Linked DNA regions of Callithrix jacchus. The protein of the gene in region 3 purifies or fractionates together with the protein of the main gene of each other region. This does not show direct contact. Links are inferred from orthologs where the notes say so. Each region holds a gene or a part of one and is shown on either strand. Other genes may lie near its edges.

Region 1 (5,000 bases), on a different chromosome or scaffold from region 3:
CTTTTGTCCTCACTGGAATATTCCAGCAAAATTCTTTTGCCTAGGATGCTCTTTTCTCAGATCTCACAGTTTCTTCTTGTCCTTCAAGCAGAAACATCACCACCTCTGACAGGCCTTCCGTACCTCCCACCGGTCAGGTTCATTTTGGTTTCTTCCTAACACGTATCATAGTCTTAAATTATCCTGATCATTTGTTGTGTCGACCTTAAGTAGTGGAATTCAGAATGTCATTAAGTGTAGCATTTATTCTAATGAAAAGCTTGAGGACAGCCACCTGGAAACACTGCCGCCAAACAAACAGGGTCAATGTTCCAAGGTGAAGTTAAGGTTTCATTTTCATAGGCAGAGACAAAGAAGGTTCAGCAGGAGTACATTTTCCATACAAGACCAGTGCATAAATTACAAAGATTAGATTAGTTATATATAGCTACATTCCAAGGAATATAGCTATATTAATATTATAACTATATTAATTTATGAAGAAGGGGTCTTTGTCTCTGGTCTTCCTATTTACAGGAAAAAACAAGGAAACAGTTGCAGCTGTTCGTCATGGGACACAGACCCCATAGCCACATTCTACTCAAGGCTCAGAATAATTTAAAGTTCTAACAGCTTTAAGTTTGAATTATTTAATTTCACAGTTCACTTGTTGATTCACTTGTTCTTTTCCTCTCTCCCCGACTAGAAATTAAGCTCCCAGGGATGCAACCTCGGCAGGCTCCTAAACTGCCACAGCTCCAGTTTCTAGTAGATTAGACATTCATTGTTGGTTGAATGAAGGAAGATCTATGCAGGCCTCCGTGCGCCTCCTCTTTAATGAGGGGGCTCACTAGATGAAGGTGAGATGAATGTGAGCAGACGGAAGCAGAACCACTCTCTTAATGAAGGTAGCAGGGATTTCTAGAAACCTCGGGGGGCGGGGGGAGTTAAACGAGAGAATTAGGAGGCCGGGGTAAGAGAAGCAATGAGGGTGATCTGTGTAGTGTAGTCTTTTCACGAGTTTGAGAACGCCTAGAAAGATGCCTCAACGAAGCGTCGGGCACAGAGCCATTTGGGAGGGTTTCTTTTTCGGGTTTTTGAGAAGGGGATCTGACTTGAAGCAACGGGGAAGTCGAAGAGCCAAGGACGGGCATGCACGGGAGCTCTCCGGCGGACCCCTGGAAGGGGTGGGAGCAAGCAGAGCCTTACTTCTCCCCCGCCTTGGCGGCACTGGGCGCCCCAGGTGCCACCCTCAGCAGCCTCCCGCCGCCACCTCCCACCACACATGACTGAGGCTCGGGAAGCAAAAAAATGGCTTTCAGAATACTAAATGCAATTACTTCTTTTCCTGAGTTAAAAAAAAAAAAAAAAAGAACTGAAAAAATGCCAAAATGTACAGATTAGAAAGTCCTGTTGTCACATCCCCCCAGGCCTTCATCTAGTCCCGCCAGCGTCTCCGCCCTCACTCTGGGCCTGGTATTCAGCCGCAGGGCGCTGGAAGAGTGTTGGCGGGCCTGCTGACGCCTCCGGACCTGAACTGCGCAGGCGCGGCGAGGCACGGGATCGCGGGCGCGAGCGCGCGGGAGCAGTTCGCGGCAGTTCGCGCGGGAGCCGGGCGCTGGGGCGCTTGGGCTCTTGGGCGCGTGGGCTGCTGGACGGTGGGAAGGGAAGCCGCTGCGGGGCGCAGGGGAAGCCAGAATGGCGACTCCGAGCAGAAAGACGTCCACCGCAAGCCCCCAGGCTTCCAAGAGAGCTCTCCCAAGAGACCCTTCGTCAGAGGTCCCGAGCAAGAGGAAGAATTCCGCCCCGCAGTTGCCGCTGCTGCAGTCGTCCAGGCCCTTCGTGGAAGGCTCTATCGTCCGCATCTCGATGGAGAACTTCCTGTGAGTGTCCTGGAGGCCCCGCCGGGGCTGTGGAGGCGTGGGGGCCCGGGGGCGCCGGCTGCGCGGGGCGGTGTGTGTGTGTGTGTGTGTGTGTGTGTACCTGGCTTGTGGGTCTGGCTATGAATTCGTGCCGGGGTTTCCTTAAGGATTTTTCTATGTATCCTGTGGAGATTGACGTGTATGGTGTAGGATATGTGTGCCTTGTGTGATGTGGTTTTTAAATTTAGTCCGCTAACGTTTCCAAGGGCGTCATGTAGCAGGTAGTGGTTGTACTAGGGAGTAGGTCTCTCCCCGCTGGGAGTCGCGGTCCATAGGGTCACACTGGTCTGGAATTCACAAAAGTATTGGTCCCTGGAACTTAAGAGGAGGCACAGTTAATTCGGAGTAATGGTGATGCTGTGGCAGATTCTCAGAGTAGGCATTTGCCAGAGAGGAGGAGATAAGACGGTAAAGGTTGTTCAGGATGGGAGGTTAGAGTGTACACAAAAATTAAACTTTACTGGCAATTGTTGGACCTCGCTACAAACAAACCCTTGACACCCTCTAAATCCAACTTTCGTCCCTGGTTCCTCCCTCTCCCCTTCAGAAAACGAGTTATAACTTTAGAATTTAGTATATTTAAAATATGTCATGTATTTGTCTAGCACCTCACAGTTCATTTGTTCAAGGTCGTCTTGTTTTTGAGACGGAGTGTCGCTGTATCCCCCAGGCTGGACTGCAGTGGCGCTGTCTCGGCTCACTGCAACTTCGCCTTCTGATTTCAAGTGATTCTCCTGCCTCAGCCTCCCGAGTAGCTGGGACTAAAAGCGCGCGCCACCACGCCCGGCTAATTTTTTTGTTTTTAGTAGACACGGGCTTTCACCATGTTGGCCAGGCAGGTCTGGAACTCCTGACCTCAGGTGATCTGCCCGCCTCTGCCTCCCGAAAGCGTGAGCCAACACGTCCGGCTGAAAGTCTTTTTTAAGCTTGCACACAGTGGAATAAATATAACAGAATTGAAATAACAATACCACTTTTTTTTTTCAAGCGCCTGTTGTGTGCCAGGTACAGAACTAGGTGCTTTATTTACACAGTGCACTCATTCTTTCTTCATAACAACTGTATCTTGATAATTTCCATTGCTGAAAGAAGCTCAATAGGTTATTTTGCCCAGTTTTATAACAACATATATATCAGGATCCTTCACAAAGGATGAAGTGGTTAATTTTGTCCACAAGTATGAGAAAGGGCTTTGTAAAGAAGATATGAAAGTCTGTGGTCTTGGTCTGTTGCCCATGCTGGAGCGCAATGGCATGATATGGGCTCAGTGCAGCCTGGGACCTCCCCTTCTCAAGTGATTCTCCTACCCCAGCCTTTCAAGTAACTGGGAGTACAGGCACGTACCACACCTGGCTAATGTTTTTAAAATTTTTTGTAGAGATGAGGTTTCACTATGTTGCTCAGGCTTTTCTTGAACTTCTGGGCTCAAGCAACTCACCTCAGCTTCCCAAAGTGCTGGGATTACAGGCATGAGCCACTGCACCCGCCTAAGAAGACAGAAAAGTCTTAAAAGAAGTGAAGAGTATTGAAGACAGAAGGAACTTTCTGAAATAGTTTGGTATATTTAGAAAGTGTCAGGTATTTTAGTATGGCAAAAATATAGGATGTGAGTGAGTATGTGGACAGAGGGTAGGCAACCATTGAGGAGCCTGTACATTTACTATGCTAAGAAGTTCCAGCATCATCCTGTAGGCAGCCACGGTGTGTTTTCAACAGGGAATGACATGTGTTTTATATTAATCTGGAAGCACTGTGAAGGATGTTTAGAAAGTGTGCAAGATTAGAGGCAAGAAGACTTACAGTATGAAGGCCAGAGATAATCAGAGCGTAAATGAATGAGATTTGACAGGATCCAGCTACAGAATAATTGTGAGGCAGGGAAAGGAAGGAATGCAGTGTTTTTCCCAAGTCTCTGCCTTAGCTTATTGGTCAGCTGCTATTCAGAAGAGGGAGTAGTTTGAGGAGAATAATAATAAATGCCTGTTAGATACTGTGGCTTTGGGGTACAAAGAGAGATGTTCTATAGGCAGTTTCCTTTGGGGCATCTAAGAGGGATGTTGTGTGGATAGAATGTGAGAGTCTGGAGATTAGAGGAAAAAGTGAACAGGTGAAAGATTTGGAAGTCATGCATACCGGTGATTGATGAAGTTGCAGAACTGGTTATGATTGCCCATTAGGAATTGTAAATTGAAGGGCTAGAAGATCATGTACAGAGCCTTGGGAGAATGCCTACTTTTAAGGGGGAGCTGAAGAAGAACTCAAAGTGAGAAGGAACTATTCAGGAAAGTTTAGATGAAAACATTAGGAGACAATTATCAAAGAAGCCAAGGAAAAAAGATTTCAAAAATAACACCTGCTACACTGAAGTCAAATAATGGAACTGAAAAGAGCCCACTGCATTTAGCAATTGGGAAATCTTTGACCCTTTAATGAAGCGCAGTGGAAGCAGAAAACTTTGCAGGTCATAGAAGAATGAATGAGGGTGAGAAAGTAAAACTTGGATGCAAAGAGAAGAAAGAAAAGATAGCTGGAAGTGCAGAGGCAGGTGAGATATTGTTTATTTTAATGAGTGGACTTGGAGTTTTAGGCATGAGGTAGAGAAAAGTAGGCTTAGAGAATTAGCAAGGAAATAGGGAGGAGTAGTCAGAGAATTTAAATAGCCTGGAAGAGAGTAGTGACTGAACCAAGTCAAATGGAGTTGGGCATGGAGGAAGAGACTTGGAGGCTGAAGGAATAACACATGCAAAGGCTTAAGAGAAAGAAGGATTTGTAGTCAAAAAATTGAGAGAAGTACATTAGAGGTAGAATTTAGAGGTCTGAGGACAGAATAGGGCAAGGAGATAAAAATAGAAAAAGATGAAACTTGACTGTGATGGGTTCTCCTTTTTCCTTGATTTTTCTTTTTTGACAAGTGACATCAGATTTGCAATTCTACCAACATTACTTAGTGACTGACTGGATGATGGAGTGGTGGTTTGAGTAGAGTCAAAAGAGATGAATGAACTAAAAATGAAGTAAAATAATGCCTAGGTTTCTGATTTGGGCCATGGAATGAATGACAATACTAAGAGACCACAAGAGTGGTTTTCGATGGGAAAG
Region 2 (4,904 bases), on a different chromosome or scaffold from region 3:
CAAGAATAAAGGCAGTAAAGAAACTGCATTATTCACGTGTTAAAATTACCTCACGGTGATGAACACATCCAGTAAGTCCCTTTATCCTCAAGTTTTGCTATCCACTTGGTTTGTAAATGTGACATACTATCTATCCAAATTCACCTGCAAGTGAAAATGATACTGTTTTGTTTACTCATAAAGGTATAGAGCACAGTAAAGAGACAAAATTTAGAGTCAGGTAGTCTAGATTCAAGTTTTAATTGTGCTATTTAATTATATAATTTGTGGAAAATCACCAACCTCTTTGAGTCTGTTTGCAAAATAGAAATAACACAATTTTTGTGATTTTCTTTATTAAGCATTAAATAAAAGAATAAATGTAAAGTGCCTGGCAGATAATATCTACTTGGGGTAAGTATTAATGATTGGCTACATTCAAGAGCAATTAATAGAGATAAAGCACTGCCTCTAAAAACTAGTTGCTGTGCAGAAATAACACATAATCGCCCTGAAAAAATTTTTCATACTTTAAACTGGAGAAATAAAGCAAGCACACAAGATTCAACAAAATGTCAAAATTGGAATCAATGGGGGAGATTATAAGTTTGTTGAATTATTAACCAATAAGGTTAGAAAATCAATGTGCTGTCCTAAAAATGGTTGCATTATTTTCAAAAGGTAAGAAGGCACTGGCCTGATGTAACAGGGGCCTTGAATTAAACATATTGCATTTTTCTTTATGAGTATGCTCTCATAAAGAAAATGTTTTTATGGGTATGGGGAGCATACCCATAAAGAAAAATGCAATAGTACCTACAACTCTCTTGGGAACTGACTGTTTAAAAAAAAAATTAATTAGCTGCCTTTTATGGGGGTTGGTGGGAGGTAATTATTTAAATACAAGGTGGCAGGTGAAAACTACTTACCTAAGAAACTGCATTACTTAAGAGAAGTCGCCAAGGTTCACTACATCACAACTTTCAAATCTTAAATGATCACCTTTCCTCCCTTTGTCGGAAGCAATTTCTCTTTACAACTATTCTGGCTACCTCAGACCTCCATCTAAAATTCTCCCGAATCCTTCATTATTGACAAAGCCTGGAGCAGAGCGCAAGCATTTCTTTCTGAAAGCACACCTACTTACTGATCACTGCCATCCAAAAATGCATCTAATGTCCAAGCATGAAATGACAAGCTTGTTTTCTCGTGTCTCAGCCAGGAAACAAAGACCGTTCTTCTCATCCAATTCAAACGGCAGGGGGAACCTTCAATTAATTTTAAAGCAGGAAGGAACCTCCCCATCTCACTTCCAAATGTTTGTAAAAGATGTCTTCTTCAGCCAACCGCCTGCCTCCCAGGCATGGCAACCCAGAACTACGGAAACAGTACTGAGGAATCGAGAGTGGCCAAACGCTGCCAATGGGAGATAGGACACTCGTTGATCATTGGCAGAGAAACTCGGCATCACGCCGAGTCACCATATACGGTGTCTTCGGCCTCGCCCAGGGACACTTGGGGACTCGAGGTCGAGTTCCAAGTCGGAGACAGGTTTTGCGAGTGGAGAAGACGGTAAGCCGGGATCCCAAGGCCTTCTCCAGCAGCGCAGGGTGTCAAACGCCACGGGGTTGGATGGGGACTCCTTCTGGTTCAACCCTCGCCCACTCACTTCTGGGGCTGGCCAAAATGCTGCAGATAGCCCTGGCCAGCCATTAATATCAAGCCCAGGAGGCAACCCAGTAAAATCACTTACCAGTCTTTTACCTCCAGTGGTGATCTAGCGGGAGCCTGACCCGTTGGCCGGACTCAAGCCCGGCAACAGCTATGACACCCTGGCGACGGCTCCAGAGCGTCACTGACAACCACCCGGAAATGATACTGTCGCTTCCGGGGCTGCCTAGCGCGCGGCGGGAAATTATTTCCCAGAGCCCGGATTAGTGAAGCAGTTGAGTGCTGCAGCGGCAGTCGTCGCTCTTGCAGTCGCCACCCGAGGAAGGCATCCCACACACTTCGGCCGGGAAGGTAAAGGGGCTCAGCTTGGAAGACACAGTGTATTCTGTCTCTGTTGGGATGTTTCTTCCCCGATCTGTACCCTCTAAGTATCTTCCCTCCGGCTCTGAGGCTGGGAAGGTTGCGGCTGAGGTGAGCGGCGGCGGTGTCTGGCTCTTGCCACCTGCAGCTGTTTTTTCCCGCCCTCCCGACTTCGCCCTTGGCGCTGGAATTGGTGTGATGGGCTGCTGCTGCAGACCCCGCGACGCTCGCCTCGGCGGGGACCGGCACCGAGTGCCTCTCTGCAGTACTGGGCTGAGCCGCTTCCCCCGCTGCTGCTTGCGCAGCTCTGCAGCTAGGTCCGCCGCTTGGAAGGCACTAGGCCCCCCGCGTCTCTCGTTTCCATAGAACCGATGGGGACGCCTCACCCAGATCCCAGAGTTTTGGCTGCTTTCCATAACTTTGCGTCTTCGAAGGTGGCTGGGTTCCCCCCGGCCCACCGTCCTGTGACGAAGAAAATTGTGTTATTCTTTCCTCTCTAGTAGAATTTTTTTTTGACATACCCAAACGGCAGTCATCCTATCTCTGACTGCTATAGGCCTTTAAACACATATACACATACACGTTTCCCTGGCGGGAGGGTCTGTGTTTCTGGGGATTCTATTTCAGCTGCTTGAAGGCTGGAAACAAGACTAAGTGGTTATTTTAAGATTTCTTCCACTTCCAAAGCCTCAGATTAAATATTGACAAAAAAAAAAAAAAATTGATCTGTCTTGGGTACTTAATACCATTATTTGACTCAGGTGTTACATGGAGCTTGATTTTGGACTGGGCAGCCTTTTTGACGAATTACTCTTATTAAAGAGAAAAATGTGTTGTTGAGACGTTGGGAATGAACAACTGAACTGAATTTACAATTTATATGTGACAGACAATTCACCTGTTGGACTTTTTGGTTTATGTTATTCCGTTGTGCCTCAATTCGTGGAAGTATCTGTGGATGTGCAAGATGTTCTCATTGTTGGAAAGTTTGATTACGTATATTGCAGGTGTTCAATATGTAAGTTGCTAGTTTGAAGTGGATTTATATATAAGGGAGTAAATTTCATTCATTCATTCATTCATTCATTTTGTTTTGTTAGTTTGTTTTGAGACAGAGCCTTGCTCTGTCGCCCGGGCTGGAGTGCAGTGATGCGATTTTGGCTCACTGCAACCTCCGCCTCCCAGGTTTAAGCAATTCTCCTATCTCAGCCTCCCAAGTAGCTGAGATTACAGGTGCGCACCACCGCGCGCAGCTGTTTGTATTTTAAATAGAGATGTTGTTTCATCATGTTGACCAGGCTGGTCTCGAACTCCTGACCTCAAGTGATTTCGCCCTACTCGACCTCCCAAAGTGCTGAGATTACAGGTGTAAGCCACCAGGCCCGGCCAAATTTCATTATTTCTAAGTTTACTCAGTATTCTTAATTTAAAGGAACTAGGATGTTCAAATACTTGAATGTTTAAGTCAATTTTGTTGTAAAGACAGCTAACCTTCAGTACTGCAAATAAACCCCTATTCTGTTTTCTATATTCATATTTTATTACGCATTATTGATTAAATTGAATTATATGACGTAACATTTTCTTCCCTAAAGCATATAGCACGAGAAAGTCATTGAAATCACCGTCAAATGTGGTTACTCTTCATAATCAAAATTCAGAACTCTTAATATTTCATAATACGCATCCAAAATTTACAATGTTGTTCAAAAACTTTGCTTTTTGGGAAACCAATAGTATAGCTTTATTAATTAGTATTTTCCTTATTATATGTATCTTGATTATATTATTCTAAAGTAGGGTTTTCACCATTTAAAGAAAACTTTTTTTTTTTTTTTTGAGACGGAGTTTCGCTCTTGTTGCCCAGGCTGGAGTGCATATGGCACCATCTCGGCTCACCAACCACAACCTTTGCCTCCCAGGTTTAAGTGATTTTCCTGCCTCAGCCAACCGTGTAGCTAGGATTACAGGCATGCACCACCACGCCTGGCTAATTTTGTATTTTTAGTAAAGACTGGGTTTCTCCATGTTGGTCAGGTGGTCTCCCGACCCCAGGTGATCCACCTACCTCAGCCTCCCAAAGTGCTGGGATTACAGGTCTGAGCCACTGCGCCCAGCCTAAAGAAAACATTTTTATTTTATTTTACTTTAATTTATTTATTTATTGAGAAAGGAGTCTTGCTCTGTCACCCAGGCTGGAGTGTAGTGGCCTGATCTCAGCTCACTGCAGCCTCTGCCTCCTGGTTCAAGCGATTCTCCTGCCTCAGCCTCTGGAGTAGCTGGGACTGCAGGTGCCCGCCTGTTTTTTGTATTTTTAGTAGACTGGATTTCACCATATTGGCCACGCTGTCTCAAACTCCTGACCTTGTGATCCACCTCGGCCTCCCAGTGTGCTGGGGTTACAGATATGAACCACCACACCCAGCCAGGAAAACATTTTTAAAAAGTAAAATAAAAAATCATGTGTAGACATTGAATAATAAACCCTAAACAAAACAAATCCCTCAAAAATATAACTAAAATGAAACATCATCTGTTACTCTTGTAATTGACTCTTTGAATATACTAAAGGAAAATACATCTGTGTAAGGTACTATGTACTCTTTCTCACCTTATAAGGGAATGCTACTGCTTAAAAGTAAAATAACCCTGAAACTTTTAAGTTCATTTAATTCATACTTTCTTTCAAAATTACTTTAAAATTTAAAATACAGCGTTTGGTTAGTTTTGAGGAGGAAGAAAGCCCTTATGAATTACTCTAATGACTAAGTGATACGAAATCACTTTTGAGAGGAAAATAATGAAAACTTTGTTTCTCATTAAGAAAAAAAAGCACTCTTTTTTTTTTTTTTTTAATTTTTTATTGGATTATAGGTTTTGGGGTACATGAGCAG
Region 3 (4,405 bases):
TGTTTTGTTTTAGCTTTTCTAAATTTTAAAATGCAGCTGTGCTTAGGTACTAAGTAGTTATTTTGTATGAATGTCTGGAGAGAACAAGTAGGTTCAAATGCTTATACCCAAGATGTTGCATTCTACCATGTAGCAGTGAGCATTTCAGTCCTAAGAAGCACTCTGTACTAATTCCTTGGGTCTACATGCCTGTCTTATCTATTTGAGAACTATAAATAATATAAACTTCAGTTGTATTTTTATAATGAACTCCTATAGGAAGTGATGCGTTATATTTTCAGTTTTTTAAATGAACAGCTTAGCAAAGCATTATTATCATTGTCAAAACTTTATTTTAAACTGAATAGTGAAATCCAGCCTTCATTTTATAAATCTAACTTTCTCCATTTAATCTGAATTATGGAGGTTTTAATATTTGCTTATATGATGCTATATTATGCTTTTATTTTCAGGAAGCAGTCAATTATAGATTTCTTCAAACCAGCTTCAAAACAAGGTATGTACACTATTGGTACAATTTTTGTAGGCTATTTCGGGGGTGAGGAGTGAGACAGATTCAACTTTAAAACCTACTGTAAGCTATTTTAGTAAATGTAGTGTTCAAAATTGAAAATACGAAGATACAGTTGTTTTTTTTTTTTACAAGGATAAGCAAGTTCTAAATATGAGGGAAGTCTTTTTGCTGTTACGTTTTCATATGTTTAAAATATTACTCTAGTCAAAAATTTAATGTTCTTAACGTGTACTGTTTTCACTCTCTAATACAGTAATTTATAGAGCCATAGGGAGGCTATATGTACCAAAAGAGAGCTTTATGAAAGTAAGGCTTTTAGCAAATAAATTCTGTCTTAATTTCTCTTATATCCCCCAATAAAGTGTGTATCATTATCCAAGTTATTGGCTTGAAAATTTTTGTGGTAACATTGGTGTAGTTTAATTTAGTATATTAAAATTAATAATTGAGATAAATGTTAAATATTTTATTTTTAGTAACATGCAATTTGTATGTGTTTTAATTGGCTATTTAGACAGACACATGTTGGATTCACCACAAAAATCAAACATCAAATATGGAGGAAGTAGATTGTCCATCACTGGGACAGAGCAGTTTGAAAGGAAACTATCCTCACCAAAAAAATCTAAACCCAAAAGGGTGGCACCAGAAAAGAGCCCTATTATCGAAGCTTTCATGAAAGGTGGTGTTAAAGAGCGCCATAAAGATCATGGTGTACGTGAGTCACGTCGGCCTTGTGTGTCACTAGCCTCCAAATATTTAGCCAAAGGAGCAAATATCTATGTTCCTTCTTCATATTGCTTGCCAAAGGAGATGAAGTCACTAAAGAAAAAACATCGATCCCCAGAGAGAAGGAAATCACTATTCATTCATGAAAATAGGGAGAAGAATGATAGAGATCGAGGCAAAACCAATGCAGACTCCAAAAAGCAGACCACAGTGGCAGAAGCTGACATCTTCAAGAACAGCTCCAGAAGTCTCAGCAGCAGGAGCAGCCTGTCCAGGCACCACCCGGGAGAAAGCCCATTGGGAGCTAAATTCCAGTTGTCACTAGCTTCTTACTGCAGAGAACGAGAACTAAAGAAGTTGAGAAAGGAGCAAATGGAGCAGAGAATCAACTCTGAAAATTCTTTCTCAGAAACAAGCAATCTTTCCTTTAAATCTTCTAGTATAGAAAGAAAATACAAACCAAGGCAGGAACAAAGTAAACAGAATGACGTCATACCTAGAAAGACAAATCTTTCAAATGTGGTATGTGTAATAATGATTGAATTAGCATTGCTACTGCTATATCATATTTAGAATACTAAATTTTAAAATATTTAAGAGTTGTTACATCACACTGATGTCTTTCCTTAAGCAAATACTTATGCACAGTTTGTGTAGAAGCTGGTTTCACTAGGTTTCCTCCATGCCCTTCACTGAATTCAGTAAAGCAGTGTTTCTTATCCTTAGTTTTTTCAGACCAAGAGCGAAGATCTTTTTTAGTCAGAAAAGTAAACACTTTTTTTAAAGGCAAGTATAGTCTTATTTATGTGTAGACAGTCTTGCCCTGTCACTCATGCTGGAGTGCTGTGGCAAGATCATGTCTCATTGCAGTCTCAAACTCCTGGGCTCAAATGATGCTTTTACCTCAGCTTCCCAAATAGCTGAGACTACAGGCATATGCCACCATATTTGACTAATATTTTTATTTTTTGTAGAGACAGGGTTTTCCTATATTGCCCAGGCTGTTCTTGAACTCCTGGCTGCAAGCAATCCTCCTGCTTCCTGCACTTTGGGAGGCCGAGGTGGAAGGATTGCTTGAGCTCAGGAGTTTGAGATAGCCAGAGCAACATAGCGAGACCTCGGCTCTACTAAAGGTTAAAAAAAAAAAACAACAGTTCTGGTGGCATGCACCTGTTGTCCTAGCTACTTAGGAGGCTCACTTAGGCCCGGGAGAAGGTTGCAGTGAGCTTGATCACACCATTGTACTCCAGCCCGGGTGACAGAGTGAGACCCTGTCTCAAAAATACAGTGTTCTAATATAATATTAGTCTTGCGTTATTGATGTAAACATGTAAATTAGCATTATAAAAACTGAGTTCATTTTTATGATATTTTTACATTTTTATGATATAAATGCCCTTAATTTTTATGATAAAAACCTTAAGATCTTTAAATGTTTTATTATAGACACTAGGCTTTACCTCCAAATATGGGTCCTTGCTTTATTCAATCTAGAAATCTGTGTTTAAATGTTAGGAAGAATGCCTTCACATTCTTTACTGTCCCCAACACTTAATTAATTTTATCTCATTTTGCTCATAGGAAAATGGACATCTCTCAAGAAAAAGATCCTCTTCTGATTCATGGGAACCTACTTCAGGTAGAACCAAAATTAAATTTCTGAATTTCTAAATAAATTTTCATCTTAATGGCTTTTTAAAAGAAATTTGTTTAAATATGCAGTTCCCTTCTTGGGGATGAATTCAGTCTCATATTAATTAAGAGTTTGGTAAATTATATTTAAGAAGAATGGTCCCTGAATATAGTGCTTATAATTTGGGTTTGTTTTTGTGGCAGGGTCTCACTCTGTCACCCAGGCTGGGATGCAGGGGCGTGATCACGACTCACTGTAATCCTTAACCTGGTGGGTTCAAGTGATTGTCCCACCTCAGCTTCCTGAGTAGCTGGGACTACAGATGTGGGCCACCATGCCTGGATAGTTTCTTGTATTTTTGTAGAGATGAGGTTTTGCCGTGTTGCTCAGGCTGGTCTCAAACTCCTGGGCTCATGCGATTCTCCTGTCTCAGCCTCCTAAAGTACTGGGATTACAGGTATGAGCCACCACACCTGCCCTAATATGTATAATTTGTTATCTGTCTTGAATCTTCTCTCTGCCTTCTTCAAGAGTTCCTAACAGTATGTTTCTCATACTGTTGTCTCTTTCTGAATTCTTGGCTACATCAAGAAACGTAATATTATAATCTTGGAGTTATAGACTGAGGTCTTGGTATTATCTTGAGGATGCTTTGTGTAAGGTTGAAACTGTTACCATGATCCAAAGCAGTGTTTTCTAATAATTTCAAAAACAGGGATCCCTTTTTAATATTAAATTTCAGGGATGTCTACATGACATTAGTTTGTACTTTTATCATCTATTGATTGAAAAAAAAATAAAATAACAAACCTACTGTTAATTCAGTACATTTTATTTTTTTTACTAGAAAATAGAATATTAAAAAATCAAACTGCAGAAGTTTACAAGAAACGAAAGGTGTCTACAACTAACAACAGTTAATAGTCTAGTGTATCGGATTTTTTTCCTGATATGACTATACATTTTGAAAAACAGACAAATTCTCACATTCAGCAAAATACACTGGACATGATAATAATAGCTGACTTTTATTAAGTACTTAGAGTGTGCTATGCCGTTTTATGTGCTTTTAATTCATTTGATTCTCATAACTTTATACAGTGGTTTACTTTTAGAAATGGAAGTACAGAGAGACAGTTCTAACTCCTTCAGGTTTCATCTACTACTTTATTTTATTTATATTTTAGAGGTGCATTGCATTTTGATTAAGCACTCTCGATTAGTAAAATCAATTTTGAGCCAAGACTAAAGCCATATTTTACGATCATAGAAGGAACTTATAGGATATAGGAGTTAATCTAAAATTGTATTTGTTTTTCATTTATTTAATTTTTATAATGTTGCTGATTTTATGGCCAAATTTTGGTGAATTTTGACATTATTGTGCAAGAACAGGAATTTCTCAGCCAGGAGATTGCTTCTGCACTCACTGCCTTGTACATTTGTAATACTAAATACATGATCACTTTGCACCAAAGCTAATATAAGAGCAAAATATTACTTTGTATAAGGGGCTGCTTCTGCTGGTG
Region 4 (4,980 bases), on a different chromosome or scaffold from region 3:
TTTATATGAATTCCTTTACCTCTCTAAGACTTAGTTCTCATGATGAAGGCCTTATGAGAATATTCTGTTGTGGTCAATATGGACTCTCAAGCCAGACTGAGTTCAAATCTTTCATCTTCCACTACCAGCAGGGTGCCTTGTGAATAAGTCAAATAAGTGCATATGTGTAAAAAACTTAGAATGGTGTTTTGCATACACGTGCCTAATAAATGCCAGCTACTACTGTAATGGATACTAAAGTCCTTTCTCTTTTTTTTGAGACGGAGTTTCGCTCTTCTTACCCAGGCTGGAGTGCAATGGCGCGATCTTGGCTCACTGCAGCCTCCGCCTCCTGGGTTCAGGCAATTCTCCTGCCTCAGCCTCCTGAGTAGCTGGGATTACAGGCACGCGCCACCATGCCCAGCTGATTTTTTGTATTTTTAGTAGAGACGGGGTTTCACCATGTTGACCAGGATGGTCTTGATCTCTTGACCTTGTGATCCACCCGCCTCAGCCTCCAAAGTCTAAAGTCCTTTCTCTAAATGCTATTAGTATTAATATTACTGCCCAGTAAGTATTTGGGTGCAAGCTGGGAAAAATCAATTGAATACAGCTTTGGCTAAGAGACTAGAGGGTTCTTATGAAGAGAACTCAGAGGAGTGAAGTCTTAAGCTTTCTGAGCCTCAGTGTCCTCATTTGTAAGATGGCCATAACAGTCTAATCTCTGCCTGCTTCCCAAGAAAGCTCAAGTGCCTGGCCCGTTGTAAGCATTCAGAAAATATTTGTGAAATGAATCAGTGCATGGACCACGTGGGGCGTGTTCTTCATCTTAAGCCTCAATGGGCTCCAAAATGTCCCTTCCTAGATTCTACAAAAAGAGTGTTTCCAACCTACTGAATCAAAACAGAGGTTTCAACTGTGTGAGAATCCACACATTGCAAGGCATTTTCAGATAGCTGGTTTCTAGTTTTTATTGTGGGATATTCGGATTTTGCCATGAGCCTATATGGATTCCGAAATGTCCCTTCCCAGATTCTTGCTAACTTGGTGGGAATATCAAGGGCAAGGATTCAAGGGTGGGGATATTGCTAACTTGATTTAGCAGAGTTCTTTGCTAAAACTGGATTTTATCACGAAGTACACAGATTGGCCTAGGAGAAGGTTCAGGAGCCTGACTAAAGTTTGGTCAAGCCAAGAATCTTTGCCAATTTGCATAGGAAATATCTGGAAGGCTATATGCCGAAGTTAATAGTGCTTCTCTCTGAAGAAAAACTGTACATTAAAATTTTAATATGATTAAAAGGAAGAGCTCCTATTTAAACTCCAGAGGTCCTGTTTCGAATCTGACTCGAAACTCTATTCAGCTTTTCCGGAGTAGTTTCCGCTTGTGTAAACTGACAATGATAACACCTACCTCCCAGTGTTGTAATATGGGAGAGATATTACACAGTAGCGGACATAGCCTAGCGCAGGCGCAGTACAAGCACCATCAGCAGCGCCCCGCCCACATCCTACTACAATTTCCGGCAGGCTCCGCGCCCGCCTCTGGCGCGTCGCGGGTTGTGACGTAATGCGATAGCGCGGGGAATTTCGAGTGGTATTGGAGCGCCGGAGGCTAGTTGAGTGGTAGACCCCAGCATCTTCAGGAGCGACCATGGACTCCCTAACCGAGCCTCGGTGGCCGCCGGGCCTGGCAGTTATGAAGGTGAGTGCTTCGGGGAGGTTGGGGGCTCCCGGGTGCCTGCGGGGGGCGGTCCCTCCCTTTGAGGAGGATGTCCTCGCCTTGAGGAGAAAAAATGAGGCGCGAGAGTCGCACTGGGCCATAGTACCCGGCTCTGCTCTGTCACTAGCCGACCGCGTGGCTCTGGGTCTCAGTTTACTCCTTTGATAAGTGACAAGGACAAGCTTGGTGAGCTGAGGTTGACAGTCTAATGGAACCAGATATTCTGCGATCCAATCCGAACAGTAACATGGAGAAAAACAGCTGTTCTAAACAATGACATTGTCAGCTAACCTTCACTGAAAGCTTACTTTGTGTCAAGCACTAAACAGTGACACCGGACATGATTTTGGGTGGACACTTTATCAAGTAACATGTATGTAATCACGTAGCCAAGCAGGTAGTCTCCTTTACAGGCTCTTCTGATTATTCTCAATAAACCTACTGCTGGTTTGTACCGACATACTGCCCCAGCTCCTCCCTCACACGTCCTATCTCTTCTGTAACAATTGCTCATCTCTCTGTCTTTTAAACAAAGATCAAGATTCAGCAGTCATCTTTCATTGCATCGAATTATTTCAGTTAAATAACACTTATTTTTGTAGCCACTTTCTGTTTTGGCAAGGCAACAGTTTCCATTTACGTAGTGGTGGTCCCTGGATTTGCTCAAGAGCAGATGCACATTCCCGTGCTGGCTAAAAGTCAGTTGTTTGGTGTTTCTTTTTGCTCTGTGATTATTTTTGTTTCTGACAGTGGCTAAGATAGCCTTTTTCTCTTCCTCAGTTTTGTAGTCTTGGGGATTATAGTATCTGTCCCACTGGCTCATAAAGTTGACTTTAGAATTAAGTGAAGGCTAAAATAAGTATAAGGCCTTGTTCTTCCTGCTGTCATCCGTGATATTTAGAGGTCTTGGGGACTTGAGATATCTGCATGACGAGAAGCTGACATTGTGAAAGGATCCAGGAAAGCGGTGGTTTCGAAGTTGTGATGGGCTTGGCACCAAGATGCCGTGGAAAAGAGCACAGATTTGAATTCTAGTGGTCCTGGGTGAAATCTGATCTCTGCCTCTTAGCTGTGTGACCTTCAGTTAGTAACATAACCTCTCTGAGCCTGAATTTCTTCAACTATAAATTAGAGACAAAAATAAACAGTTCATAGGGTTGATTAAATAAATGAGTTCATGTGTGTGGGTGCAGATTCTGCAGGCTTATTCATTGTGCTTGATGCGGTGCCTGACAGAAAGTGAGTGCTCAAGTATTATTTGCTGCTTGATTGAAAGTATCTGGAATGTAGTAAGCATTCAATGAATATATTTTATTACTATTATTAGCACTGTGCTAAGTGCTTCTCTCCCCTTTTAATTTGTTGTCATGAAGCTTGATTTGGATAAGGAAAGTAAAAGAACTCTGTAACCTGTAAAGCTCCTGCTTTGTAGATTTAAGCATATTTTACATATTCCCACAATTTCAGTGTTCTTTAGAGGCAGGTTCCATGTCTTCTCTGACTTTGGTATCTCACCACGGCACTGAATATAGAGTTTGATACCACAGAGTGTTCAGTGATTGTTCAACCAGAGAGTTGATTGAGCCCATATTTTTTGCTCACATTAGAATCATAGAATCTTAAGGTTTGGAAACCAGCCTCCTTCATTATTTTAAACTCTTTTATAACATATCTGCCAATTTCTCACCTAATTTTTGCTTGAACTCTTCCAGGGACAAAGAACTATCAGATCCCAGAAGTGGATCTGACTAAAGTTACTTCTAATAGAAGTCTGACTCAGAATGCATGGTTCCTGACTTAGGATCCGTAGAAAGACTTCGGAGTCTCAAGTTATTTGTAGAATTTTCGTATATATGTTTTTCTGAGAATAGAGTCCATAGTTTTCATCTAATTTTCAAAGGGATCTGTAACCCCAAAAACTTGGGTATTTTTGTAAGTATTATGTTTTTCTACCCATTTTCTACTCCCTTTCACTTTCTCTCTCTCTAAACTAAAGACATTTTGGGGTGTCTGCTGACCACTCTCTATTCAGGCATCGTTTTTTGTTTGGTTGGTTGAGGCACATGTGATACGCATATTACAGTCTTGGAGAGACATGACCAGAAATTTGAACCCGAAATAGCTCATCTTATGGAGTGTCAACTTCCACAAATTGTGCTCTGCAGATCTTTCTGAATCATTACTCCACCGAAGAGAATGGCATAGATAAGAAAGAGTGGTATGACAGACTGGTTCCGGCTTCTGGGCCTGCCTCTGATCTTAATTGATCTTTAACATTAACCCTCTAGATTTTTGTGTCTGTGACAGCTTACCATCCACAATAATGGAAGATTTTGGCATTTTATTATTTCCCTGGTTTTATTTTAGCAAAATTGGACTCTTTTTGGCATATTGTAAATGTAATAGGTGTACACAGTAGAAAAAAATTAAAATTCAGAGTAAGATAAAGGTGAAAAAGAAAATCATCTGTAATCCTACCACCCAGAGAACCAGTGTTTAACATTTTACCTTATTTTCCTTCAGTTTTTACGCATTTAAAATTTGGGATCATTGTGGAGTCAACTTCTTGGGTTTGATTCAGCCAACCTAGGAACTCTGAAGGCTTTGTTTTTAAAATTGGGGTACTGATGCTGTGGACTTTATAAGATTGCCATGAAGATTAAACTACAGAGTTGCCATTATTATGTATTATTGGCATATATTTATTTTCTGATTTTTATTTTCCTATGGCATTAAATATTCTTTGAAAGCATGTTTTTTAATGGTTGCATAATATTTCATCATATGGACTGTTGGCAACATTAGTCTTTTTTTTGTATAAATTTTAAAAATTCAGATAATAGGTTCACTTGGTTCAGGATACACATGAAGTGAAAAGTAAAAGTTTCCTTCTTACCGTGTTCCTGGCCCTGATCATTTTTATTATTATCTTCTCATAATTTGTTTGTATTTCTGATGAAAATAGATACTTTTTTTTTTTTTGAGATAGGGTCTCACCGTCACCCAGGCTGCTTGCTGCCTTGAACTCCTGGCCTAAAGTGATCCTTCCGCCTTAGCCTCCTGAGTAGCTGGAACTACAGGCATGTGCCATCATGCCCAACTAATTTTTACTTTTTTTTATAGACATGGATTTTTGCTATTTTGCTCAGGCTGGTCTTGAATTCCTGAATTTAAGCAATTCTCCTGCCGTGGTCTCCCAAAGTGCTAGGATTACAGGCAAGAGCCACCAAGCTAGGCTTATTAGAATACATTCTTTTTTTTTTTTTGAGAGAAGGAAA

What was found.
Region 1: the proteins of SLF2 (region 3) and SMC5 purify together in Homo sapiens (affinity purification with mass spectrometry; 3 studies listed by BioGRID and IntAct, with this or other methods). This does not show direct contact. The link is inferred for Callithrix jacchus from reciprocal best matches to the Homo sapiens genes SLF2 and SMC5.
Region 2: the proteins of SLF2 (region 3) and SLF1 purify together in Homo sapiens (co-immunoprecipitation; 3 studies listed by BioGRID and IntAct, with this or other methods). This does not show direct contact. The link is inferred for Callithrix jacchus from reciprocal best matches to the Homo sapiens genes SLF2 and SLF1.
Region 4: the proteins of SLF2 (region 3) and RAD18 purify together in Homo sapiens (affinity purification with mass spectrometry; 3 studies listed by BioGRID and IntAct, with this or other methods). This does not show direct contact. The link is inferred for Callithrix jacchus from reciprocal best matches to the Homo sapiens genes SLF2 and RAD18.

What each region holds. Positions count from the first base shown.
Region 1 is NC_133502.1:94,614,509-94,619,508, reverse strand, and holds the start of SMC5 (structural maintenance of chromosomes protein 5), read left to right. Parts: upstream 1-1,566; 5' UTR 1,567-1,677; coding exon 1,678-1,862; intron 1,863-5,000. UniProt on the Homo sapiens protein: Core component of the SMC5-SMC6 complex, a complex involved in repair of DNA double-strand breaks by homologous recombination.
Region 2 is NC_133503.1:116,036,811-116,041,714, reverse strand, and holds the start of SLF1 (SMC5-SMC6 complex localization factor protein 1), read left to right. Parts: upstream 1-1,470; 5' UTR 1,471-1,551; intron 1,552-1,732; exon of another isoform or gene 1,733-1,843; intron 1,844-1,903; exon of another isoform or gene 1,904-2,001; intron 2,002-4,904. UniProt on the Homo sapiens protein: Plays a role in the DNA damage response (DDR) pathway by regulating postreplication repair of UV-damaged DNA and genomic stability maintenance.
Region 3 is NC_133513.1:93,831,453-93,835,857, forward strand, and holds part of SLF2 (SMC5-SMC6 complex localization factor protein 2), read left to right. Parts: intron 1-452; coding exon 453-496; intron 497-1,028; coding exon 1,029-1,765; intron 1,766-2,824; coding exon 2,825-2,882; intron 2,883-4,405. UniProt on the Homo sapiens protein: Plays a role in the DNA damage response (DDR) pathway by regulating postreplication repair of UV-damaged DNA and genomic stability maintenance.
Region 4 is NC_133516.1:66,167,258-66,172,237, reverse strand, and holds the start of RAD18 (E3 ubiquitin-protein ligase RAD18), read left to right. Parts: upstream 1-1,546; 5' UTR 1,547-1,633; coding exon 1,634-1,684; intron 1,685-4,980. UniProt on the Homo sapiens protein: E3 ubiquitin-protein ligase involved in postreplication repair of UV-damaged DNA. Postreplication repair functions in gap-filling of a daughter strand on replication of damaged DNA.